Linked DNA regions of Canis lupus familiaris. The protein of the gene in region 5 binds, or shares a complex with, the protein of the main gene of each other region. Links are inferred from orthologs where the notes say so. Each region holds a gene or a part of one and is shown on either strand. Other genes may lie near its edges. The genes, in order: TAF13, TAF9, TAF5, TAF11, TAF3 and TAF7.

What was found.
Region 1: TAF3 (region 5) and TAF13 share a complex: the UniProt entries of both Homo sapiens proteins name them as parts of the TFIID basal transcription factor complex. The link is inferred for Canis lupus familiaris from reciprocal best matches to the Homo sapiens genes TAF3 and TAF13.
Region 2: TAF3 (region 5) and TAF9 share a complex: the UniProt entries of both Homo sapiens proteins name them as parts of the TFIID basal transcription factor complex. The link is inferred for Canis lupus familiaris from reciprocal best matches to the Homo sapiens genes TAF3 and TAF9.
Region 3: TAF3 (region 5) and TAF5 share a complex: the UniProt entries of both Homo sapiens proteins name them as parts of the TFIID basal transcription factor complex. The link is inferred for Canis lupus familiaris from reciprocal best matches to the Homo sapiens genes TAF3 and TAF5.
Region 4: TAF3 (region 5) and TAF11 share a complex: the UniProt entries of both Homo sapiens proteins name them as parts of the TFIID basal transcription factor complex. The link is inferred for Canis lupus familiaris from reciprocal best matches to the Homo sapiens genes TAF3 and TAF11.
Region 6: TAF3 (region 5) and TAF7 share a complex: the UniProt entries of both Homo sapiens proteins name them as parts of the TFIID basal transcription factor complex. The link is inferred for Canis lupus familiaris from reciprocal best matches to the Homo sapiens genes TAF3 and TAF7.

Annotation. Positions count from the first base shown.
Region 1 is NC_049227.1:43,170,307-43,174,470, reverse strand, and holds the start of TAF13 (transcription initiation factor TFIID subunit 13), read right to left. Parts: upstream 2,945-4,164; 5' UTR 2,889-2,944; coding exon 2,862-2,888; intron 2,010-2,861; coding exon 1,931-2,009; intron 1-1,930. UniProt on the Homo sapiens protein: The TFIID basal transcription factor complex plays a major role in the initiation of RNA polymerase II (Pol II)-dependent transcription.
Region 2 is NC_049257.1:19,523,761-19,526,667, reverse strand, and holds TAF9 (transcription initiation factor TFIID subunit 9), read left to right. Parts: upstream 1-1,214; 5' UTR 1,215-1,342; coding exon 1,343-2,140; 3' UTR 2,141-2,279; downstream 2,280-2,907. UniProt on the Homo sapiens protein: The TFIID basal transcription factor complex plays a major role in the initiation of RNA polymerase II (Pol II)-dependent transcription.
Region 3 is NC_049249.1:15,937,556-15,941,768, reverse strand, and holds the start of TAF5 (transcription initiation factor TFIID subunit 5), read right to left. Parts: upstream 2,979-4,213; 5' UTR 2,959-2,978; coding exon 2,397-2,958; intron 1-2,396. UniProt on the Homo sapiens protein: The TFIID basal transcription factor complex plays a major role in the initiation of RNA polymerase II (Pol II)-dependent transcription.
Region 4 is NC_049233.1:4,267,091-4,269,591, reverse strand, and holds part of TAF11 (transcription initiation factor TFIID subunit 11), read left to right. Parts: intron 1-454; exon of another isoform or gene 455-517; coding exon 518-666; exon of another isoform or gene 667-2,300; coding exon 2,301-2,388; exon of another isoform or gene 2,389-2,501. UniProt on the Homo sapiens protein: The TFIID basal transcription factor complex plays a major role in the initiation of RNA polymerase II (Pol II)-dependent transcription.
Region 5 is NC_049223.1:27,343,060-27,347,510, forward strand, and holds the start of TAF3 (transcription initiation factor TFIID subunit 3), read right to left. Parts: upstream 2,827-4,451; 5' UTR 2,628-2,826; coding exon 2,462-2,627; intron 1-2,461. UniProt on the Homo sapiens protein: The TFIID basal transcription factor complex plays a major role in the initiation of RNA polymerase II (Pol II)-dependent transcription.
Region 6 is NC_049223.1:35,442,260-35,446,417, forward strand, and holds TAF7 (transcription initiation factor TFIID subunit 7), read right to left. Parts: upstream 2,819-4,158; 5' UTR 2,069-2,818; coding exon 1,019-2,068; 3' UTR 495-1,018; downstream 1-494. UniProt on the Homo sapiens protein: The TFIID basal transcription factor complex plays a major role in the initiation of RNA polymerase II (Pol II)-dependent transcription.

The DNA.
Region 1 (4,164 bases), on a different chromosome or scaffold from region 5:
CTCTTTCTATTTCAGGATCCCACACTATTTAGTTATCATGCCTCCTTACTTTCCATTGATCAGTGACAGTTTCTCAAATTAAGGTCATTTTTCATGACCTTGACCCTTCGGAAGAATTCTGGTTAGTGATGGTGTAGAATGTTCTCCAATTTGAGTTTCTCTGGTGTTTTCTCATGATTAGACTGTGGGTACTCATTACTAGAAAGGGTACCATACAGGTGAGGTGCCCTCTTAATGCATCATATTGGAGGTACATGATGTTATACATTACTGGTGATGTTGACTTTGATCATCAGCTAATACTTTAGACATTACTTGTCTGCCAGGATTCTCCATTGCAAGCTTACTATTTTTCCTTAAATATTTGAGGAAGATACTTTGTCATTAACATTTTGATGAGCATAATTCACCAGTATATATGTTAACTGCATTTGGTTAAAGGGTTTGTAAAGACACAAATACCAGTGAATTATTTGAAACTTTGTGTTATAAAGTAGCAATTAAAAAAAAAACAAGGGATCCCTGGGTGGCGCAGCGGTTTGGCGCCTGCCTTTGGCCCAGGGCGCAATCCTGGAGACCCGGGATCGAATCCCACGTCGGGCTCCTGGTGCATGGAGCCTGCTTCTCCCTCTGCCTGTGTCTCTGCCTCTCTCTCTGTGTGTGTGACTATCATAAATAAATGAAAATTAAAAAAAAAAAGAAAAATTTAAAAAAAATAAAAATAAAAAAAAATAAAAAAAAAACAAAGTTTCGGATAACAGATGTCAGCCAATAAATTATACAAGATTAAAGTAAGACAAGGAGAAGGCTGTGAATATTCCAAACTCTTATCATCACAAAAATAAAACAAGCCAAGCAGAACAAACATTTCTGCTAAGAAGTGACAATGCAAACATCAGTCTGGGATGCTCTGCCGTGGAAATCCCCTTCTTACGCTGATATAAGAAATAAAAACAGAATAAAGAGTATCAAAGATGGATTAAGGAGTGGTCAACTTTAGGTGAGACATTGAGATATGGAGGATTTGAGTCATTAAAAAAATATAAATATATACCGACTGCAGTTTCAAGAGCATTTGGGAATCATTCAGTCCGACCCAGCATAAATAAACCATATATTCATGTGCTGCCTCCTTTGTCACTACTCAGCCATAACTACGTGTAAAAGACACAGGATGGAGAGCACATTCTCACAGTGCCTTTCAGGGACTAGCTTTGACTGTCACTAGGAACAGCAGCTCTCCCTCTTGCTGCTGCCAAAAAGAGTCAAGCCTATCTATTGAGGGAATACACTAGAGAACCAATACATTACAATCTCTATGCCACTGTACTGTCTTACACTACTCATCACCTTTCTGTCTTGTCCAATGCTTTAGTCCGAAGGCCCAACTTAATTCCTACCATCAGTACCTGTTCCAGGATCCATCATAACCTTAGACTTGTAGTCTAGGAGTTCTGCTGCAATAGTAAGGGACACAAAAAGTAATGGAGGTATGTTTTTTGGCCCTGAATTGAAACACTGATCACATTTCTTCAATTAAAAAGAAAAGTGCATATACACGCCCACCCACCTACACACACACACAAATTGGGGTTAGGATCACTACTATTTGATTCAGAAGTTAAACACGTTTTATGGGCAAGTCTGAGAATATTGTTCCCACAGAGAACATTAATCTACTTTGAATAAACATGTCTAAAAGTTTTTATTGTCGGGATCCCTGGGTGGTTCAGCCGTTTAGCGCCTGCCTTTGGCCCAGGGCATGATCCTGAAGTCCCAGGATTAAGTCCCACATCCGGCTCCCTGCATGGAGCCTGCTTCTACCTCTGCCTCTCTCTGTGTGTCTCTCATGAATAAATAAGTAAAATCTTTTAAAAAAAAAAAAAAGTTTTTATTCTCTGTAATTGAATCATTGTCAAATATTACTTACATTCTTTAGAAAAAAGTCTCTTCCTTTTACCCTGTCCGCCTTCTGCACCTCCTCCAATTTCTTCATTTTCTTCCTCAAACTACAAATTAAAACGTATATGTGAAATGTCAAGTGCTGCATTTGATTATTAAATAATTAACGTTTAATTTTTTTTTCATTTCTAACACTGATATTGTGCCAGAAAGCCTAAAGCAAGCAGCAAAAAATCATGAAATCTCAGCGTTTTAAGAACCTTAATGACTATCCAGTCCAACTTTCCACTTACGCAGGAATGGCTTCTACGATGTCCCTAACAAATAATCCTACTGCCTCTCCTGGAAGTTATGATGACCATACGTTTTTTTTTTTTTAAACCAACTAGTTAGTCTATTACTACAGTTTTTACTATTAAGAATTGGTACTGAATCAAAGTAAGCAAACTAGTATTTACTAAGCATCGCTTACACAGGACTAGGAACTTCCCTCCAATAAGCCTGAACCCCATTTTTTGACATGTAAACAAAGGCTCAAAGTTAAGAAACTGGCTCAGAGATAAAAGAGGTTTTGAAATCCAGGTTCCCTGATTTTCGGTCCATTATTTTCCCACAACTCTACAGTAAGCACATAGTTTTGTTATCAGCTGCAGTATCGGTTCATAAAGCGCGCTAACAAACAATTAGCATTGTCCTCGGATGGCTTTCCAGGCGATTCGGAGTGTCCAGCAAACAGACACCAAAAGCAAAAGCAAGCAGAAGCAAGCAAGCAGCCACCGTCCTACTCTTCACGTCCTGCCCCACGTACTAAGAGATGAACCCGAAGGGAAAGGCTAGCTGGGCGTGAAGTCTCCGAACTCTCTCCAGTGTACTGGCTAAGGTGAATCTGAACTCAGGCTCCGCTCCTGTCCCCCAGGGAATGAAGAAACGGGTGGGTGGGAACGGCGGCGGTCACTCACAGCAGGGTCTTCCTCCTCGTCGGCCATGCCGCCGGCCAGCCTAGAAGCCGCAGCCTCGCTTGCAGCCGCTTCACTAGTTCCTCTGCCTCACTTCCGGTGACGCGCCGGGAGGGGCGGGGAGGGGCGGGGCCTAGCCGGGAGGGGCGGGGGCGGGGCCGAGCCGGGAGGGCGGGGAGGGGGCGGGGCCGAGCCGGGCGGGGCGGGGCCTAGTCGGCCAACCCGCGAGGAGGTCGCGCGGAGACTTAACGGCAGGTGCAAGCGGACAGGGGGATGAGCCGCAGGTTCTGTGATCAAGATCACGGATTGATTACGTATTAGGAAAGAAAAGGAAATCGTAGACTGGGCAGTGTGTATGTTGTGGCCCTGAATTGGCTTCTACGTATGGAATCACCGCTCCCTGATTCGGGGCTGTGAAGCTACGTATCACTGGGGTGCCAGTGGTCCTTGGGATGCCCGAAGAGTGTGTTTACACAATTTTAACAACCTATAGTTACACTATTATTATTTTTTTAAGATTTAATTTATTTATTCATGAGAGAGAGAGACAGAGACAGAGGCACAGGCAGAGGGAGAAGCAGGCTCTCTGCGGGGAGCCCGACATGGGACTCGATCCCCGGTCTCCAGGATCAGGCCCTGGACCAAAGGTGGCGCTAAACCGCTGAGCCACCGGGGCTGCCCTAGTTACACTCTTTTTTTTAAATTTATGATAGTCTCACACACACACAGAGAGAGAGAGAGGCAGAGGGAGAAGCAGGCTCCATGCGCCGGGAGCCCGACGTGGGATTCGATCCCGGGTCTCCAGGATCGCGCCCTGGGCCAAAGGCAGGCGCCAAACCGCTGCGCCACCCAGGGATCCCTAGTTACACTATTATTAATTGCCAAGCACTACACTGATTATTGGGTATGTTTTCCTTCGCCGCTAGTTTTTAAGAGGAAAACATCACCCCCTTAAACTGAGGATTAAATATTTGTGGGGAATTTTGTGATCAGAACAATGAAGAAAACCACTGGCGTTAGAAAGCTAAAGCTAGGGATATCAAATGTTCTGCAATGCAAGGCATGATGCCACACAAGGAGAAGTTGTCCCACAATATTTCTGAATGCCCTGCTAAACATTCATGTGAATGAAAAACCTATAATTATCTGAGCCTAGAACCTAACTTTGTTTAGATACTAAACATGTCTTATGTTTTTTTAAAGATTTTATTTATTTATTCATGAGAGATAGAGAGAGAGAGAAGCAGAGACACAGGCAGAGGGAGAAGCAGGCTCCATGCAGGGAGCCCGAGGTGGGACTCGATCC
Region 2 (2,907 bases), on a different chromosome or scaffold from region 5:
ACATGTAAGTCTCTTAATATGTATCTCCAAGTTGCTTTTCAAAAAGCTTTGAATTAAGTTTTAACTCTATGATTGAAGATCTTACTGTTATTCATGGTCGGTTCTCAGGAGTAATGATGTCCCAAAATAACAGCCTAGGACAGTGTTGTCCAATAAAAATATCATACAACTCATTAGGTAATTTAAAATCTTCTAGTAGACACATTTTTTAAAAAAGTAATAAACAGGGGAGTGTGGGTGGTGTAGTCCGTTAAGCATCTATCTGACTCTTGATTTCAGCTCAGGTCATGATCTCAGAGACATGAAATTGAACCTCACCTCGGGTTCTGTGCTGAGCACCAAGTCTGCTTGGGTTTCTCTCTGCCTCTCCTTCTGCCTCTCCCCTTGCACACTCGCGTGCTCTCTCTCTTTCTCTCTCAAATAAGTCTTTAAAAAAGTAATAAGTGAAATTAATTTTAATAATATATTTTATTGAACTCAATATATCCAAAATATATCTTTTCAAACTATATATTTAAAAATTATTGCTAAGGTTTTTTTTCTTCTTTATTCACATTCAGTTTCTGAAATCTAACATGTGTTTTACACTTTACATCTCCATTTGTTTTTGTTTCTGGTTTGTTTTTGTTTTGTTTTGTTTTGAGATTGTATTTATTCATGAGAGACACAGAGAGGCAGAGACGCAGACTCCCCACAAGGAGCCAGATGCAGGATTCAATCCTGGAACCAGGGATCATGCCCTGAGACAAAGGCAGATGCTCAGCCTCTGAGCCACCCAGGTGTCCCTCACATCTCCATTTGAACTAGGCACATTTCCAGTGCTCAGTAGCCAAGTGTGGCTTAGTGGCTACTGTATGGAATAGCACAGGTCTAGGAATTTGGCTATCTTCTTTGGAAGGTGGCAGGCGGTTACTTTTAAAAACATATCCTCATTTATGTCCCTTTGTTACCTTACTCTTTTTAATAAAAATGAAGCAGAAACAAAATTTAACTGACTAAAAAAGCCTCCTAGATAAGAGAATGGCTTACTAAATACTGTTTTACTGCTTCATATTTCTACCTGTTGAGTAACAATGTATAATGGGTGAAAAAAAAGACAACTTTAAAAGATACACTCCTTTATTCCAGCTTACTTGAACAGATCCTGGGGCTAGTTTTGTTTCTAGAATCTACATTATGTTACTGAATGCTAAACACCAGTGCAATGTTGCTCCCGAACATCCTGCTCACCGGTACCCCGGGGGTTGGAAAAACCACACTAGGCAAAGAACTTGCATCGAGATCAGGATTGAAATACATTAATGTGGGTGATTTAGCTCAAGAAGTCTGATCAACAGATATCATGGAGTCTGGCAAGATGGCTTCTCCCAAGAGCATGCCGAAAGATGCACAGATGATGGCACAAATCCTGAAGGATATGGGGATTACAGAATATGAACCAAGAGTTATAAATCAGATGTTGGAGTTTGCGTTCCGATATGTGACCACAATCCTAGATGATGCAAAAATTTATTCAAGCCATGCTAAGAAGGCTACTGTTGATGCAGACGATGTGCGGCTTGCCATTCAGTGTCGTGCTGATCAGTCTTTTACCTCTCCTCCCCCAAGAGATTTTTTATTGGATATTGCAAGGCAAAGAAATCAAACTCCTTTGCCGTTAATCAAGCCATATTCAGGCCCCAGGCTGCCACCTGATAGATATTGCTTGACGGCTCCAAACTATAGACTTAAGTCTTTACAAAAAAAGGCATCAACTTCTGCGGGAAGAATAACAGTTCCACGGTTAAGTGTTGGTTCTGTTACTAGCCGACCAAGTACTCCCACTCTTGGTACACCAACCCCACAAACCATGTCAGTGTCAACTAAAGTAGGGACTCCCATGTCCCTCACAGGGCAGAGGTTTACAGTACAGATGCCCACATCACAGTCCCCAACTGTAAAAGCATCAATTCCTGCCACATCCGCAGTTCAGAATGTTCTGATTAATCCATCATTAATTGGGTCCAAAAACATTCTTATCACTACAAACATGGTGTCATCACAAAATACTTCCAATGAATCATCAAATGCATTGAAAAGAAAACGAGAAGATGATGATGATGACGATGATGATGACGATGATGACTATGATAATTTGTAATCTAGCCTTGATGCTGTAACCTGTAAACTTGGTCTTAAATCCATTGTACTGAGATTAAACGTGCATGCTGGGTATTTTGAAGTTGTGTTGTAGAAAACTTAAATGGTATTTAATGAGTAAATATAGTTATCCTTTCCTATTGAATGTTGGGTTTTCTTTAATAGGATTAGTAATGGTTATTCATTAGCCTTTAAGTGTGAAAAATAAAATTGTTGTTCATCAAAAAAAAAAACAAAAAACACCAGTGCAAACATTCTCTTAAATTAATAAAAATTTCTTTTGTTGAGTCTTTAATGATGAAATGAACAGGAAAGAAGAAAAGCAAGAAATAGATTTGACTGTGCTATACTGATGAAAACCATGTTTTTCAATTTATTCTCACAATAAAAAGTATTTGATCTGAAATCCTATATAATCCCAGGATGCAACAATCCTTCTCTGTTGTATGGCAACTTCCTGCCATGCATAATTATTTTCCAAAAGCGTATCAGGTCAGAAATGAAGCAGAGAATGGGGGAAAGAGTCCATAGTGATCTTAGGCAGATTTTATTTTACTAGTAGGAATCAGTTGGATAGTTATTACCACCTGGCACTGCTAATGAGTCTAGTTGGGAAAACAAAGCAGCAAAGCATTCCACAGCAGACTGCACCGTGGTCCAGTTCTGGGGAGTCTTTTGGGGTCTGTTGAGCATCTGAAGATACATTTGAAGGTGTTTTGGCTGTTATAAAAATCAAATTCTTCATTCTTCAGTTTTAAAAGAAACCTT
Region 3 (4,213 bases), on a different chromosome or scaffold from region 5:
CTGTATAAAAAACGAAGAACAACTTTCAAAAACTGACCTGATACATACCAAGTGACTAAAGCTGTTTTATTAACGTCCAGAGGGAAACTGTTTCTTAGATGTTTGCCTCTCTCCTCTCAAACTCTCTCCCCCACACAATCACACAATCTTATAATGGGATTTTCACTTCGTTTCAGTCACCCATCCAAAACTCCTTCAGCTTATCCATATCTTAAAATAAAATTTTCAAATCAGTAACAAAAAGGTTCAATATTTTTCCTGCAGCTACTTCAAAGACAAATTTCATAATACATGGTATGTGCAAATCAAACAACTATGTTAACCTTCTCTCAAGGTTCAGTGTAAATGGCACCCATGGCTACCAAGCGCTGCCCTGAAGTAACATTCTCAGATCTCTGAACTGAGTATTATAACTTTCTTGTAACACATCCTATTCTGCAGGATATGTATATATCTATCACTCCTTATAAAATGCAAGCATTTCAAGGGTGGGAAGGATGAGCCTTATTCATGTTTTCAAAAGATAACTCAATTTACATGCTTAAAATAATCTCCATAAATACCATTCCAAGGCAGAAAACATGAGTATTTGGGGATCCCTAGGTGGCTCAGCGATTTAGCGCCTGCCTTTGGCCCAGGGTGTGATCCTGGAGTCCTGGGATCGAGTCCCACATCGGGATCCCTGCATGGAGCCTGCTTCTCCCTCTGCCTCTCTCTCTGTGTCTCTCATGAATAAATAAAGTCTTTTTTAAAAAGGGGGAAAAAAAAAACATGAGTATTTATTTGTAATAAAGCAATACCAAACAATGATACACCTGCCAATCTAATCAGTCTCATTGTTGCAAAATTTTAAGTTGCAATTATAATACTTCTGTATTCTTCACTATACAAATGTTATAAGTTCTTTTGGTTACTCAGATGGCCTCTTTTCCTCCTTACTGGTTTCTGAGTTATAATAGGTCAAGTTTCTGAAAATATGAGAGATTATAGAAAAATAACCAACATAATTCATCCATCTTATAGTTCATTCACAAAGTTTAGCATTCAGAAAAGATTCCTCTAAATCACATTTTTGCACATTTCTATTTAAGGGATACAAGGATACATATTCACACTTCACTTCTGGCAATGCTACAAGACTAGGTCTCACATAAATACAGATCTATTTGGCTAGAGGCTCTGCACTGGATAACTGCATTCAATAAACGTTTATTATCACCTCAGGATCACCTTTGAGTCCTCATGCTGTGTATGAATTTTACTGCGTGGACTTTGCAACTACAGTTGCTAGGAAAAGGCTGGGAAGGGAGGTCTCAGGTGTTAAGTGTTAGGCATAAACTTAATAGTGCCAGGCATTTTATATATATTATAGATGAGCCTCACTATAATTCATTTAATAAAAACAACAACAACAACAACAACAACAACAACAAAAACCCAACCTCAACCTCAGGAAGAATCAGCATCACATAAGTAAAAGCAACAGAGATAGAGAGTCTGAACCCTGGTTTGTCCAAAACATATTCCTAAATGAATAGTTCTCAAACGTTGCCATACATCAATACCCCCTTAGAAGCATATATTCAAAAATGGAGATTCCTGGGCAGCCCAGGTGGCCCAGCGGTTTAGTGCTGCCTTCAGGCCAGGGCCTGACCCTGGAGACCTGAGATCCAGTCTCACGTCGGGCTCCCTGCATGGAGCCTGCTTCTCCCTGTGCCTCTGTCTCTGCCTCTCTCTCTCTCTTTCTGTCTGTTATGAGTAAAGAAAAAAAAATTTAAAAAAAAAAAGGAGATTCCTACAGATTCCTCTACACGATCTGATTCACCAAGTCTGAAGTGATGTGCAAAAATCTGCATTCCCCCAAAGGTTTAACTAGTGATAGCCTATAGTTTGAGAAATACTGCTTCACTATGTTCCATCACTCCCTGGCTATTCAGTCCAAAGCGAGTCTCTTGGCTTTTCCGAGTCCGTTTTCTTATAGAGGTAATGTCTAGCTCAGAGTGGAATTGTGAGAATTAGGATATATAAGGTATTTTTAGTAATTACTTAAAGAAGACAGCACAGTTCTGTATAAATAGTGTTAATGCAGACCTGCCAAAGCTTAAGAGCCCCCCAAAGAAGAAAGGGACCGAAAGCCTGAAGGTCCCCGCCTCTAGGCGCCCACCCTCCCCAGACATCCCACTGCTCAACTGCTCTCCTCAGCCTCTCACTGGAACTGACAGCTTGGAAGAGGGTTTGACTGCGCAGCCGGCGCACCAGAGAAAGGGGCGGGCATGTGGCCCTAGAGGCGGGCCCAGGAAATTCAAAACAAGCCCGCAGAGGTGCAGGCCTGCCAGGCTCTGCCTTCCCGGCTTGCTCCCTTCCGCGCCCTGCCTCCCCGGGACTCCGCGGCTCACCTTTCCCGGGAGCCGGAGGACCGGTCGCTAAGCCCGAGACGGCGGGGGCCCCTGAAGCGCCGGTGCCCGGAGGGTCAGGGGCCGCGGGGCCGGGGGCCGAGGCTGTGACCCGGCTGAGAAGCGCGCTAGCCGCCTCCGTACCGGCGCCGTCCGCCTCTCCCGGGGCTCCGGTGCCCGCCACTGCTTCCTCCAGCAGCCGGGCCTCACGGCGCAGCGCCTCTTCGGCCTCGCGGAGGTTACTCTGCCGCAGGAACTGCAGCACGGCCAGCAGAGTCTGTCGGTCGTGGGGGGCGCCGGCCTCCGGAGCAGCGGCGGGCACCGGGGCCGCCCCCGCCGGAGCAACGGCGGAGACAGCCACCGAGGGTTTGGGGGTCCCACCATCCCCGCCGGCCGACGACGCCGCCGCCGCAACGTTCCCGCCGCCGCCGTTGGGGCCGTTGTTGGTAGTGCCGCCGCCACCCTCGCCAGTGCCGTCCCCCGCCTGCGGAGGTAGCAGCGTCGGCGGTCCCTCTGGCTCTAACTTGACCGCCACCTCCGTCTGCTCCTCCGCCAGCGCCGCCATCTTGCGGCTGAGCCACCTCGCGCCGTCAAGCGTGATTGCGTTTTCACCACATGGAGGGCGGGGAGGAGCGTTTTACGACACATTGGGAAGGCACTATACGGCAGTAGGAGGGGCGAGAAGGGAGGAGAAAAAGAACAGGAGCGAGAGCAGTTTTCGAAAGCGAGTGACAGAAAGGCAGGAAGTGGGAGGTGGCGACCGCCTGTAACATTTGACTGTAATAACTACCATTTATTGCAGACCCGCTATTTTTAGGCACCGTGAGAGACATTTTACATTGTATGACCTCCTTTAATTCAACAATCTCACAAGGCAGTATTATCCTCTCTTTACAGGTGACTCAACCGGGACCCAAAGAGGTTAAACAACTTACTTGCCACAGTCACGCAGGAAGAAAGTGAAAGCGTCAAGATTCGAATCCAGGTCTCTAACTCAGAAGCATATCCCATAGCCAGAAGAAGTCTTCTGAGATACTGGTAATGTTTTATATTTTGATCTGTGTGGTGGTGACTTTTTTTTTTTTTAATTTTTACCTTCATAAAAAAGAAACAAGCTAAAGGTATGAGTTTTGTGAACTTTACAGCATGTATGTTATAATTCAGTAAAATTATCTAAATTTTGTCATTGTGAAATGGGTACATTCTGTATTCGTGCTGTTAAACTTTATTACAAATAAACTGCGGTTTTTTAAAAGATTTTATTTATTTATTCATGAGAGACACAGAGAGAGACAGAGAGAGAGAGAGGCAAAGACACAGGCAGAGGGAGAAGCAGGTTCTATGCAGAGAGTCTGCCGTCGGACTCCATCCCGGGTCTCCAGGATCACGCCCTGGGCTGAAGGCGGCGCTAAACCGCTGAGCCACTCGGGCTGCCCCAAACTGCGTTGTTTTAAGATTTTATTTATTTATTCAAGAGAGATACAGAGACAGACCGAGTCATAGGCAGAGGGAGAAGTAGGCTCCCTGCGGGGAGTCTGATGTGGGACTCTATCCCAGGACCCCGGGATCACAACCTGAACCAAAGACAGATGCTCCACTACTGAACCACCCAGGTGTCTCTAAACTGTGTTTAATTGCATACTTTTTAAAATAGTATGTGCCATTTTGGAATATGCTTCAGAAGTTATACAACCCTGCTGCATATTGAATCTTTTTATTTTATTTTATTTTAAAGATTTTATTTGTTTATTCATGAGAGAGAGAGAGAGGCAGAGACACAGGCAGAGGGAGGGGCGCCTGGGTGGCTCAGCGGTTGAGTG
Region 4 (2,501 bases), on a different chromosome or scaffold from region 5:
TCATGAGTTCAAGCCCTAGCTGAGGGTAGAAATTACTTTTAAAAAAATTATTAAAATTTCCAAATCCAAAGAAACACTGTTTTGATGAGAAGGTGCCTCCTTTTTAATGTTCTTTCCAGATGGAATCATCAGCAATAAAGAGTTCTATAGATTTAGAGGCAGAAGAGCTGGCTGGTTGGAGAGGACTTTTCTGACATCCCCTCTAAAGAATGAGGTCAGGAAAGTGGGCTCAAGGAGGCAGAGTGGTTTTCATGATCTTTGGCACATCGTTTCTTTTGTAAATACATACTAGAGCTATGTTCATAGCTAAACTGGAAAACTGGATTACACAGCTGAGCTATAAACTTCTCTAGGAGAGAGAGTGTGTCTTACGTATGATGGCACAGCCAGGGCTTGGGACCAAAAAACTACTGAATAATAAGTTTGTTGTGTTGTAATGTGAATGAACTCTTACCTTGCCCAAGTCTGGAATGTAGGCTTGAATATATATGTAATAGGGTTTCTTTCATCTTTTCAGCTCAAGAATCAGGACATCTCAGATTTAACAGCAGTTGAAAGGGAAGACTCCTCTTTGCTTACTCCTGCAGCCAAAAAAATAAAAATAGATACCAAAGAAAAGAAAGAGAAGAAGCAAAAAGTGGATGAAGATGAGATTCAAAAGATGCAGTAAGTCACTTTGTGATTTTTTTTCCCCATTCCAAGGCTCTACTTTGACCACACAAAGTTAATAAGTTTCTTTGGCCTTTAAATTTTTTTTACTTTTTTATATTCAAAAGAAAATAAAGCAAATATCCTATGTTACATTTTAGGAAATATAAGTAAAAAGAAAGATATCACTTTATTACCAGAGATAAACACTGTTCATATTTTGGTATATAGTCTCCAAGATATTTTCTATACATACATATCTAGAATTTTTTTCAAAGATACTACTATTTGTAACCTGTTTTTCATATTATATATGGTGAATGTTTTCCATATCAGTAATTATATATCTAGGTCATAATTTTCTTTACTTGGAAGTAGCTTCATTGTAGTGTTTTGGGGTTGTTTTCTTTTTAAGATTTTATTTTTAAGTAATCTCTACACCCAACATGGGGCTCAAACCCACAAGCCCTAGATCAAGAGTCACACACTCCCCTGGGCTGAGCCAGCCAGGCACCCCTCATTGTGTTTTCTGATTATAAAAGTAGTATGGGCTCGTTGGAAATTATTCAGAGAATACAGAAAAATGGAAAAAATAATTACCTATAATCCTACCACCCAGAGTAACCCCGGATATATATTTGATTATATACTTCTTCAGATTTGGGGGTTTTGGTTGTTGTTGTTGTTTTCAGATTTTTTTTTTTTTTTCAGATTTGTTTTTAATGTTTGATATGTGTAGCTAAATATTTTCCTGTCAGTAAATATGCCCATAAATCCTCAGTTGCAATGGCTTCGTTATATTCCATTATGCAGATAAATAACCCCTATAGTTCCTTTTTTTTCTTTTGACAACATTATGACGAGTATCTTTGAGCACATCCTTCACATACTTGTCCATCTATTTCCTAAATAAACTCCTAGAAGTGAATTGCCAGTTCAAACAGTATGAATATTTTCAAATATTCCTCATACACATTTCCAAATTCTTCTCCAGAAAGGTTGTTCACTTCACACTCTACCAGCAGGTATGAGTTTTTTTATCCTCCCATTCTTACTAATACTGTGCTTTATAATACTTGTCTGATTCATGAAAATGTTATTTTATTAATTTTAATTTCTTTAGTTAATAATGAAGGTTAATTTTTCTTCTGTATTGGCCATTGGTATTTTTGCAAATTCCCTATTCATGTCATTTGCTCGTTTTCTAAATTAATATAGCCATCTTTTCATTTATTTGAAAGTATTAATCATTTTCCATATATTTTACAAATATTTTCCCCCAAATCTAACTACTGGTTTGAATATAAATTTATGTATCAAATGTTTACCATCAATGTGTAGTAAAGGTATAGAGTTACAAGGAGAGAGCAAAGTGCTGAAAATACAATCTAGATAGTATATTATATAGTGACCCAACATTGTTATTCAAGTTTTTATGCTTAATGAAGTAGAAAGGAAGTTGTATTTTCACTTTTTTCTCAAGTTCCTTAAGAATAAAAATATTTTATCTTCATTCCTTGTATGCACAAAGCCTAATGCTATTGACCCCTTGAAAATTCACTAATTGTCCGAAACTTGCTTTTATTGATGTAATAATATATCTTAAGCATTCATTCTTGTAAGCCACTTTAATTACCTGAATCTTTGTCTAGAATCCTGGTTTCTTCTTTTTCGGAGGAGCAGCTGAACCGTTATGAAATGTATCGCCGGTCAGCTTTCCCTAAGGCAGCCATTAAAAGGGTAAGAATGGACTACCACACTTCATTTCCATCAAATATGAGAGCTGAACTAAATGCATGAGCTATGTCCATTGGCATTTTGAGTGAGGTGTTAGTCAAACGGGTGGATCATTC
Region 5 (4,451 bases):
CACAAAGAGGGGGAGGGAAAGAAAAGAAGCAAAAACCAAGACAGCAGGGTGCTGGCGGTGTATTCAAGGTAACAATGAATGAGAGTTACTTTGTCGTACCACGTTTAGGTTAGAAGTTATCAGTGAAATCAAGCAATCCCAAAATTCACATCTTGGAACTCAAAAACTCAGGTGACTAAACAGCTATTACAGTAGTAGGTTATCAGTTCATTCATTTATTCAGCAACCACCTCCTGGGTGCCCAGTATATTATGGCACCATACTAGGTTACAGAATACAAATATAATAAATTTGTTGCCTGGGGAAAAGAAAGGATGAATGATAGACAAGAATGATTACAAAACAAGGTGTTAACGTACAGGAATATGGACAGAATTATGAGAGCAGATGACAGGAGTTGCCCAAATCAAGTGCTTTAAGTGAATCTCAACATAGAAGTAGGACTACTGGTGGATCAGGGGGTGAAGAAAGATACTCTACGAAATGGCACCCATATAGGAACAGATAGTTTAAAAGGTTTTGGAGAAGGCAGGTAGCTCAGCATGGTAGCAATAAGAACAGCAGGAGGGAAGGGAAAGCTCACAAAGAAAACCATGTGTGTTGTGGAAGAGTTCATATTTTCAGCCTGTAAGCCATGGAGTACAAATTAACATATTTTTAAGAATGACACGATCAGGGCAGCCCCAGTGGCTCAGCGGTTTATCGCTGCCTTCAAGCCCAGGGCATGATCCTGGAGTCCCGGGATGGAGTCCCATGTCAGGCTCCCTGCATGGAGCCTGCTTCTCCCTCTGCCTGTGTCTCTGTCTCTGTCTCTCTCTCTCTGTGTGTCTCTCATGAATAAATAAAGTCCTTAAAAGAAAAGAAAAGAATAACGTGATCAGATGTGCCTTACCGACAGATTATTTTGGCAGCACTGTAGAAGCTGGTACAGAATTGGGGGCCTAAGAAGTAAACGGCATCTGTGGGTCTCAATTTTCAGGTCTAGGAATGAGTTTAAAGAAGCAATAATAGGGGCACCTGGGTGGCTCAGTGGTTGAGCATCTGCCTTTGGCTCAGCTCGTCATCCTGAGGTCCTGGGATGGAGTCTCACGTCGGGCTCCCTGCATGGGGCCTGCTTCTCCCTCTGCCTGTGTCTCTGCCTCTCTCACTCTGTGTCTCTCATGAATAAATAAATAAAATCTTAGATTTTAGAGAAGAGTTACTCTAAAGAGTAAAGAGTGAAGAGAAAGAGTTACTCTTTCTGAAAGAAAGAAAGAAAGAAAGAAAGAAAGAAAAAGAAAGAAAGAGAAAGAGAGGCAATAATTTGTTCACCCAGTTCTCCAGCTTAGGCAACTTAGGAGTATGGACCTCAAATTTCAATGAATGGTAGTTCCCCCTATACACACACCCACTTACTTCACATCCCTGGGGTGATGTGTGGTTCCTATCAAATATACTCTGAATTATGGAATGCCATCAGCTGTCGATACTACCGGACGCTCACTTAAAAACCATCAACACGGGGACCCCCGGGAGAGGGGGGGGGGGTGGTGGCTCAGCAGTTGAGCATCTGCCTTCAAGCCCAGGGCATGACCCCGGGGTCCTGGGATCCAGTCGTGCACCAGGCTCCCTGCATGGAGCCTGCTTCTCCCTCTGCCTGTGTCCCTGCCTCTCTCTCTGTGTGTCTCTCATGAATAAATAAAAAATCTTAAAAAAAAAAAAAAAAGCCCATAAATACTTGCAGCGCAAGCCACCTGCTTTGATAACCGCGGAGGTAGAAACCCAAAAAGAGGCAAAACCCCACGGGTATGCGGAAGCCCGTGTAAGCGAGCTGGACAGAGTCGGCCTCCGGGGAGCGAGCGAGCCGCGATGCTCTTGCACGCTCCGCACGGCGCGGACCGGTCACAGGAGAGAAGAGGCCGCGTCCGCAGCGCGGCAGAGCTGTCAGCGGGTTCTGCGGGGTCTGGGAGCTGAGGGGTGGCCAGGGGGGCCCTGCAAGAAGCGGCCGGTAGACGGAGCGCCTGTGACAACTAGTTGTAGTAGTTTGCAGGCACGGGAGCGGGAGGACCCAAGTCGGAGCTGGCGGTGGCCGTGCACGCGCGGGCGGGCAGCGAGGCAGGTTTCCCACCGGGAGGCGAGGCGGGCGAGGCGGGCGGGCCGTGCAGCTGCGAGCGGGGCCGGGGGGTCCCGGCGGCGGCGGCAAGTGAGCGGGCGACGCGGAGACGGGGGGGCTCCCCGGAGCTGCCAGGGGCGGCGGAAAACGGGGGGCGTCCGAGAAAATGCCCGATCTCGGGGTCGAGGAGGAGGAGGAGGAGGAAGAAGAGGAGGAGAAGGGGGAGGAGGAGGGGGAGGGAAGGGGGAGGGGCGGGGGCGGGGGCGGGGGGGACCCGCAGCCTGGAGCCGCCGAGCAGAGGCGCGAGGACCGGAGGTGTCACTCGCCGCTGTCCGGGGGCAGCCCTCCCGCTCCCGGCCCGGTACTCACACAGCTCAGAGTACCGGTGGCAGCCCCGTCCCAACTGCTGCAGGTAGCGCTGCAGCACGTCCGTGAGGAGGTGGCAGGCGCTCAGCTGCACCGAGTCCCAGCCCAGCGCCTGGCAGATCTGCGCCACCGAGACCCTCAACAACGACCTGGAGTAACTCTCGCACATCCCGCTCCGTGGACTCCACCGCAGCCCTCGCTGCCACTGTCTCCAGCCGCACCGCCTAACCTTAGCACAGCCCTCGATTCATCCTCTAGGGCCCCCGCGGCGGGGAAATCGTGCCCCCCGAGCCCCGGCGACCGCCTCAAAGCGCCAGCAGCACGGAGCGCGCCAGCCTGAGAGCCGCCATTTTGGGCTCGCTCCGCCCCCCGCTGGACGGCCGCCGGGGCCAGGCAGCACTAGCCGAGGGCGGAGCGCGCCCGTGCGCAAGCTCCGCCCTGCCGGGGCAGAGCGATGCTCTCGGCGGCGGCTGTCGGGCCTGGGAGGGCGCCGGAGACGGCGCGGTGCGGGGCGCAGGTGGAGGATGCGCGCGCGCGGAGGCAGGTGCCCGGGGGTCCCTCGGGCGGGCGCTCAGGGGCCGGGGCCCGAGTCCGCCCGCTGCAGCGGGAGCGCGACAGGCCGTGAGTGCGGGGGCGGGATTCGGGCCGCGGGGACGCGCGGGGACGCGCGGGGACGCGCCGAGCCGGCCTCGCCCGCGCCGCCGCCGCCGCCGCCGCCGCCGCCGCCCCGGGTTGCAGGGGTTACGTCACGCCCAGGCCGTTCTGGGTCGGGGCCGCGCGGGGCGGAGCCTGCGGGACCCCGGGAAGGCCCCCCGGACCCCGGCCTCAGGGCGCCCCTCTGCTCCAGCTCTGGGTTCGGTGCGCCCCAGTCGGCCCCGCAGGGCAAAGCCAGTACCGGAAGCGGACGGCGCAGCTGCGGGCACGCGGAGCTGCTGTCCTCGGATCCCCCCAGGCTGCCGAGGACCGGGCGTCGTCGCAAGTATCTCGGGTCGTAAGTGTTGGGTGGAGTCAGCCCGTGGGTGGCCTGCGGCGAGGGCTGAGCTGGGGGTCGCTTAGGCACGTCCCTTGTGCCCCCGCCGAGTCAGGAGCCTGCCTGCCTGCTTCCTGCCCAACTGCCCGTCTGCCCACCTGCCCACCTGCCTTCCTGCCCATCTGCCTGCTTGCTTGCTTCCTTCCTTCCTTCCTCCTTGCCTCCCTGCTTCCTTCCTTCCTTCCTTCCTGCTTGCCTCCCTGCCCCTCCCTCCCTCCCTCCCTCCCTTCCTTCCTTCCTTCCTTCCTTCCTTCCTTCCTTCCTTCCTTCCTTCCTTCCTTCCAGCTTCCTTCCTTCCTTCTTGCTTCCTTTCTTCCTTCCTTCTTGCCTCCCAGCTTGCTTGCTTGCTTCCTTCCTGCTTGCCTCCCTGCTTGCTTCCTTCCTTCCTTCCTTCCTTCCCTCCTTCCTTCCTTCTTTCCTTCCTTCCTTCTTGCCTCCCAGCTTGCTTGCTTCCTTCCTTCTTGCCTCCCAGCTTGCTTGCTTGCTTCCTTCCTTCCTTCTTGCTTCCTTCCTTCCTTCCTTCTTTCCTTCCTGCTTGCCAGCTTCCTTCCTTCCTTCCTTTTTCCTTCCTTCCTTCCTTCCTGCCTGCCTGCCAGCTTCCTTCCTTCCTTCTTGCTTCCTTTCTTCCTTCCTTCTTGCCTGCCAGCTTGCTTGCTTCCTGCTTGCCTCCTTCCTCCCTTCCTTCCTTCCTTCCTTCCTTCCAGCTTCCTTCCTTCCTTCTTGCTTCCTTTCTTCCTTCCTTCTTGCCTCCCAGCTTGCTTGCTTCCTTCCTTCCTTCTTGCCTGTCTCCTTTCTTCCTGCCTTCCTTCCTGCCTTCCTTCTTTCCTTCCTGCTTGCCAGCTTCTTCCTTCCTCCTTCCTTCCTTCCTTCCTTCCTTTCTTCCTTCCTCCCTCCTTCCAGCTTCCTTCCTTCCTTCTTGCTTCCTTTCTTCCTTCCTTCTTGCCTGCCAGCTTGCTTGCTTGC
Region 6 (4,158 bases), about 8.1 Mb from region 5:
CTATAGTGATGACTTCCTTTTGAACAATTTTGACGAACATGGACATATCACCTGAGTTCTGTACATACTATTAAATAATTGCAGGAATGGAAGTTGAAAATATTTAGAAATGCAATCAATCCAAAACAATGGGTTGATTACGTGAACAGTACGTAAGAGCCTTTGCTTTGTTTCTACTATTTTAACAAGATGAGTGTAGTGCTTTAAAAAAAAAAAAAAAGACAAAAATAGACCTTCATGTACAAAAGTTAGGATAGTTTAGGAAGGTTCTGTACGCAGTATTTTCTTAACCTACATATGTAACAGGTGGGTTGGAAAGTTAACATAAAGCAAAGACAGATTTCCCAATCTTTTTGACCCTACTGTGTTTTCTTAAAACTCAACATAACTTCTTTCCCTACAAAACAGGATCAAATCAGTCATTAAACCCCACCAAGAGACCACCTCACCAGAGGACCTGATACCCACTACCCCTTAAAGAGCAAGACACATCATGAGGTGAAAATTAGTTGCTTTTATTTATTGTTAAAACAACTTTTTGAAATGGTTTATAACCCTACATACATAAGAACGCTTTGAATACCTGGGAAAATAGCTACTACTTCATGGGAAAACATGCAAACCAACATCACTGCCTGCACACTAGACTCTGCTTACTGATTTCTGATGGCATCACAGAGAAGGAACAGCCACTCTGGCAAATGGAGAAACAGCAGCAAAATCCTTCAGTAAAGTTTTAATTACTAAGGTTACACTGTTCATTCCACTGAGCCTACAATTTTCCTACAATCACTTATCTGTCTATACATTCTTACTTTCTACAGGACACAGAGCAAAGTGGTTCTGACAAACAAGATAGCAATTCACATATTTGTAAGACAAATTCAGTAGATAACAGTGAAGAAAATGAGAACTACTGCAGTTATATCTAGTCCAGGTGTGATGAAGCCAAGATTCTTCTTTCAATGCTAAGGAATGAAAGCAGTCTTAGGAATGAAATTAAATACGAGAGCTCTTTTCACTTCTCCAGGAGTGATTCTAGCTCTTCCTGCAAAGAGCTGAGCTGCTCCCTTTCTCGGTCTTCCTTTTGTTTGAGTTCATCCAGCACGGCCTGAAATCTATTCTTGAGAGCCAGGTTTTCGACTTTCATAATGAGATCCTCCTGTCGTTTTGCCCTATCCTGGGTCTCTTGTAGTTTGCCTTTCATATTATCAATCTGTTTCTGAATTCCCATAACCAGTTGGTTGGTCCCCTCATTTTCTTGGTGCTGTTCATCTGATTCATTCAGCTTCTCCTGTAGCTGTCTTTCCAGATCTTCCTCAGTGTCAATGATGTTTATATCTTCTTCATCTTGATGCTGCGTCTCATCTTCATCTTCACTGCTGCTACTGAGGTCATTGAATATCTCCCGAAGCTCATCATGTTCTAATGAGTCATGGCCCTGCCTGTGACCAGACATTCCTGGAGAAGATATATCAAGGCCTTGATTTTCTGTTTCTTTTGTTTCATCTTCAGCAATTATCTCCCAACGAGTACTCACAGCTTCAGCATCTGTACTTAGCAACCGCTTCACTTCCTTCTCCACATCTGGAGATTCAATATACTTCTTCTTTGCTGTCTTCCGAAACCTTCTCTTTCTGACATTTTTTAGAGGCAGAGTAATTCCATGGTTCCATATAAACTTCTTCTCTTTGTCCTTATCCTTTTTCTTGCTTGCTTTGGGATCAGTAGTAGCAACTGGTTCCTCCACAGGAGGATAGAGATCACCATCAACTGTGGAGACAAGCATCTGACATATATCAGCTGTCTTGTAAAAAGTTTTTTTATCAATGGTTTTCAGGCTTTCCATAACACATGGCAGATCTACCAATTTGGAGGCCAATGGAACCCGGTCCACTCTGACGATTCCGTGACGTCCATCAGGGTGTAACTCAATTGTCAGTCTGTCCTTCAGATTGACATGACCAGACTGTACTGCCCGTCTCACAGTAGAGGCATATTCCGGAGGTAGCCGTAAAATAAACTGGCTCTCCAGTTCGTGAGGAGCATCATCTTTGCTCTTACTCATCTTTCCTTCTTTGAGACTCACTTCTCAACCACCACTTGTTGCACTTTAAGTTCCAGCTACTGACAACAGGTGGAGGCCAGTTTGTTATGAACTGAAATCCTTAATTACAAAAGTTTTAAGCAGAATAGGAGCTAAGCGTCTACTGTGAATTAAGGCCCAAGTCTTTATAAATCTGCTGTGATTGAAATACCAGTCGTTAGGGACACTAATCAATTAAGTCCATTTAAAACTATTAGCTGCAATTCAAGTTCCAACCTCTAGATGCCGCTGCCGGACAATGCAGACCGAGCTACCTAGCAGGAAAGCAAATGGCGGCTTCTGCGAAATGATTTTCGACACAAAAAGTAAGGCCCAGCAGACACTCCCATTTTACACTCTCTCCCGGAACAAAGGTATTCAAAAAGCAGAACGCAGTGAGCTTTCTTCGCCTTGGGTACTTACAATCCAGTGACGATTATAAGCCCAGCTTCTCCGGATAGGAGCGAGCGGAAGAGGCAGCCACTCCGAGCAAGACGGCCAGGAGCCGAGCGTCTCCTTCTTTATTCCTTTGTTCTTCCCAGGTCTTAGGAAAGTGATCCGCTACCGATTATCAATGAAATGCCGACGGCGGGCAGTGCGAAATCTCGCCGAGATCCGCAGCGCCAGACTCGGCAGCTCCGCAGCTCGGGGGATCTCAGTCCGGAGCTGCAGACCTAGCGGAGAAGAAAGCACTACGTCACACCGTGGGGCGGCTATGAGTGACAGCACGATTAAAGCGGAAGTCCGGGCTGCCCCAGCGCGCGCAGGCGCAATTACATTATCCGGGGACTTGTCCTCTCGCGATGATTTGACTTTACGCGAGAAAACGATAAATGTTTCATAAAGAGCTGTTGGTTTGAAAATATTTACAGACAAACATTGCAGCGAAGACATTGGCCCTCGCGTTCACCTTTCCCGCTCCGCTAAGCCAGAACATTTATTGGTCGCCGTGGTCCGGTTATCTCCTAGGCTTCTGAGTGATTTCCGGAAACAGGGCGTCCGTGCAGAAATCGTCTTTGCCTTTTGGAACATCTCGGATGCTCCCCACGGTATATCCATTCTGGAGCAGATACAAGAATTATAGTTAACTATAATTGTTATATATATAACAGTGGATTTTAAACTACTCAAATCAGTGGAGTGAGAAGGACATGCTGACCACTATATCATTCTAAGTATATGTTTTGTTAATTATGGAAAATGCCTGGAGGGGACCCATGCCTTAGGGACTCTTTCTTTTTTGAAAAACCACAAGGGTACATGAGTTATTCCTCTTTTTAATATGTTTGACGTAGATCTAAATGTAAACAAAGAAGCGAGTGTTCTTCTGGAGGCATATATTCGTTTAGAACATAATTGTCTGACAAACGGTCTGATTGAAGTAGAATAAAATTGAAGTATTACTCCCTGTCACGCATTTGCCTGTACTTTTTAAGTTAGGATTTTTTTTTTCATTCCACATCTACTCTTTTGAAACTGTTTTCTGCTTGTCACTTCTACGGGTAGTGAGGTACTCATTTGCATGTTTTGTAGTGTTTAGGCCTAAATATGTAACAGTTTACATTTGCTCCTATTCATTTCCATTTATTTTTTAATAGGATCAGTTTGGTTAAGCATCAAGGTCATTAAAATTTTGTTTCTGTCTTCTAAAATATGAACAACTTCATCTAAATTTAAGCAAACTCACTTAAAATGTGATTAACACTTTCAGAATTCGTTTTGTTTAGGTACTTGACTGTTTCTCTTGCACCAGATTGGAAGCTCTGTGATAATCAGGGAGTTTTTGATATCCCTGTTCATGGTGTCCCAGGACCTATTACCAAAACATGGGAAACACAAAAAAATATTTGCTAATTGAATGAAAGTTGATTCATTTAGAAATGACATATAGTCTGTTTCCCATAATAAATAATTTGTGAGAGACAATACATTCTAAAATGAGACAGAGCTACTTTATATATATTTTCTCTCTAGCCAAGGGCAGTGCCAATTGTGAGTGGAGAGGTTTCCTAAAAGTGCGTGTGAATGTGTCTGTTTTGGTTTAGGTAGTCTGTGGTATTGGGTGTCATGTG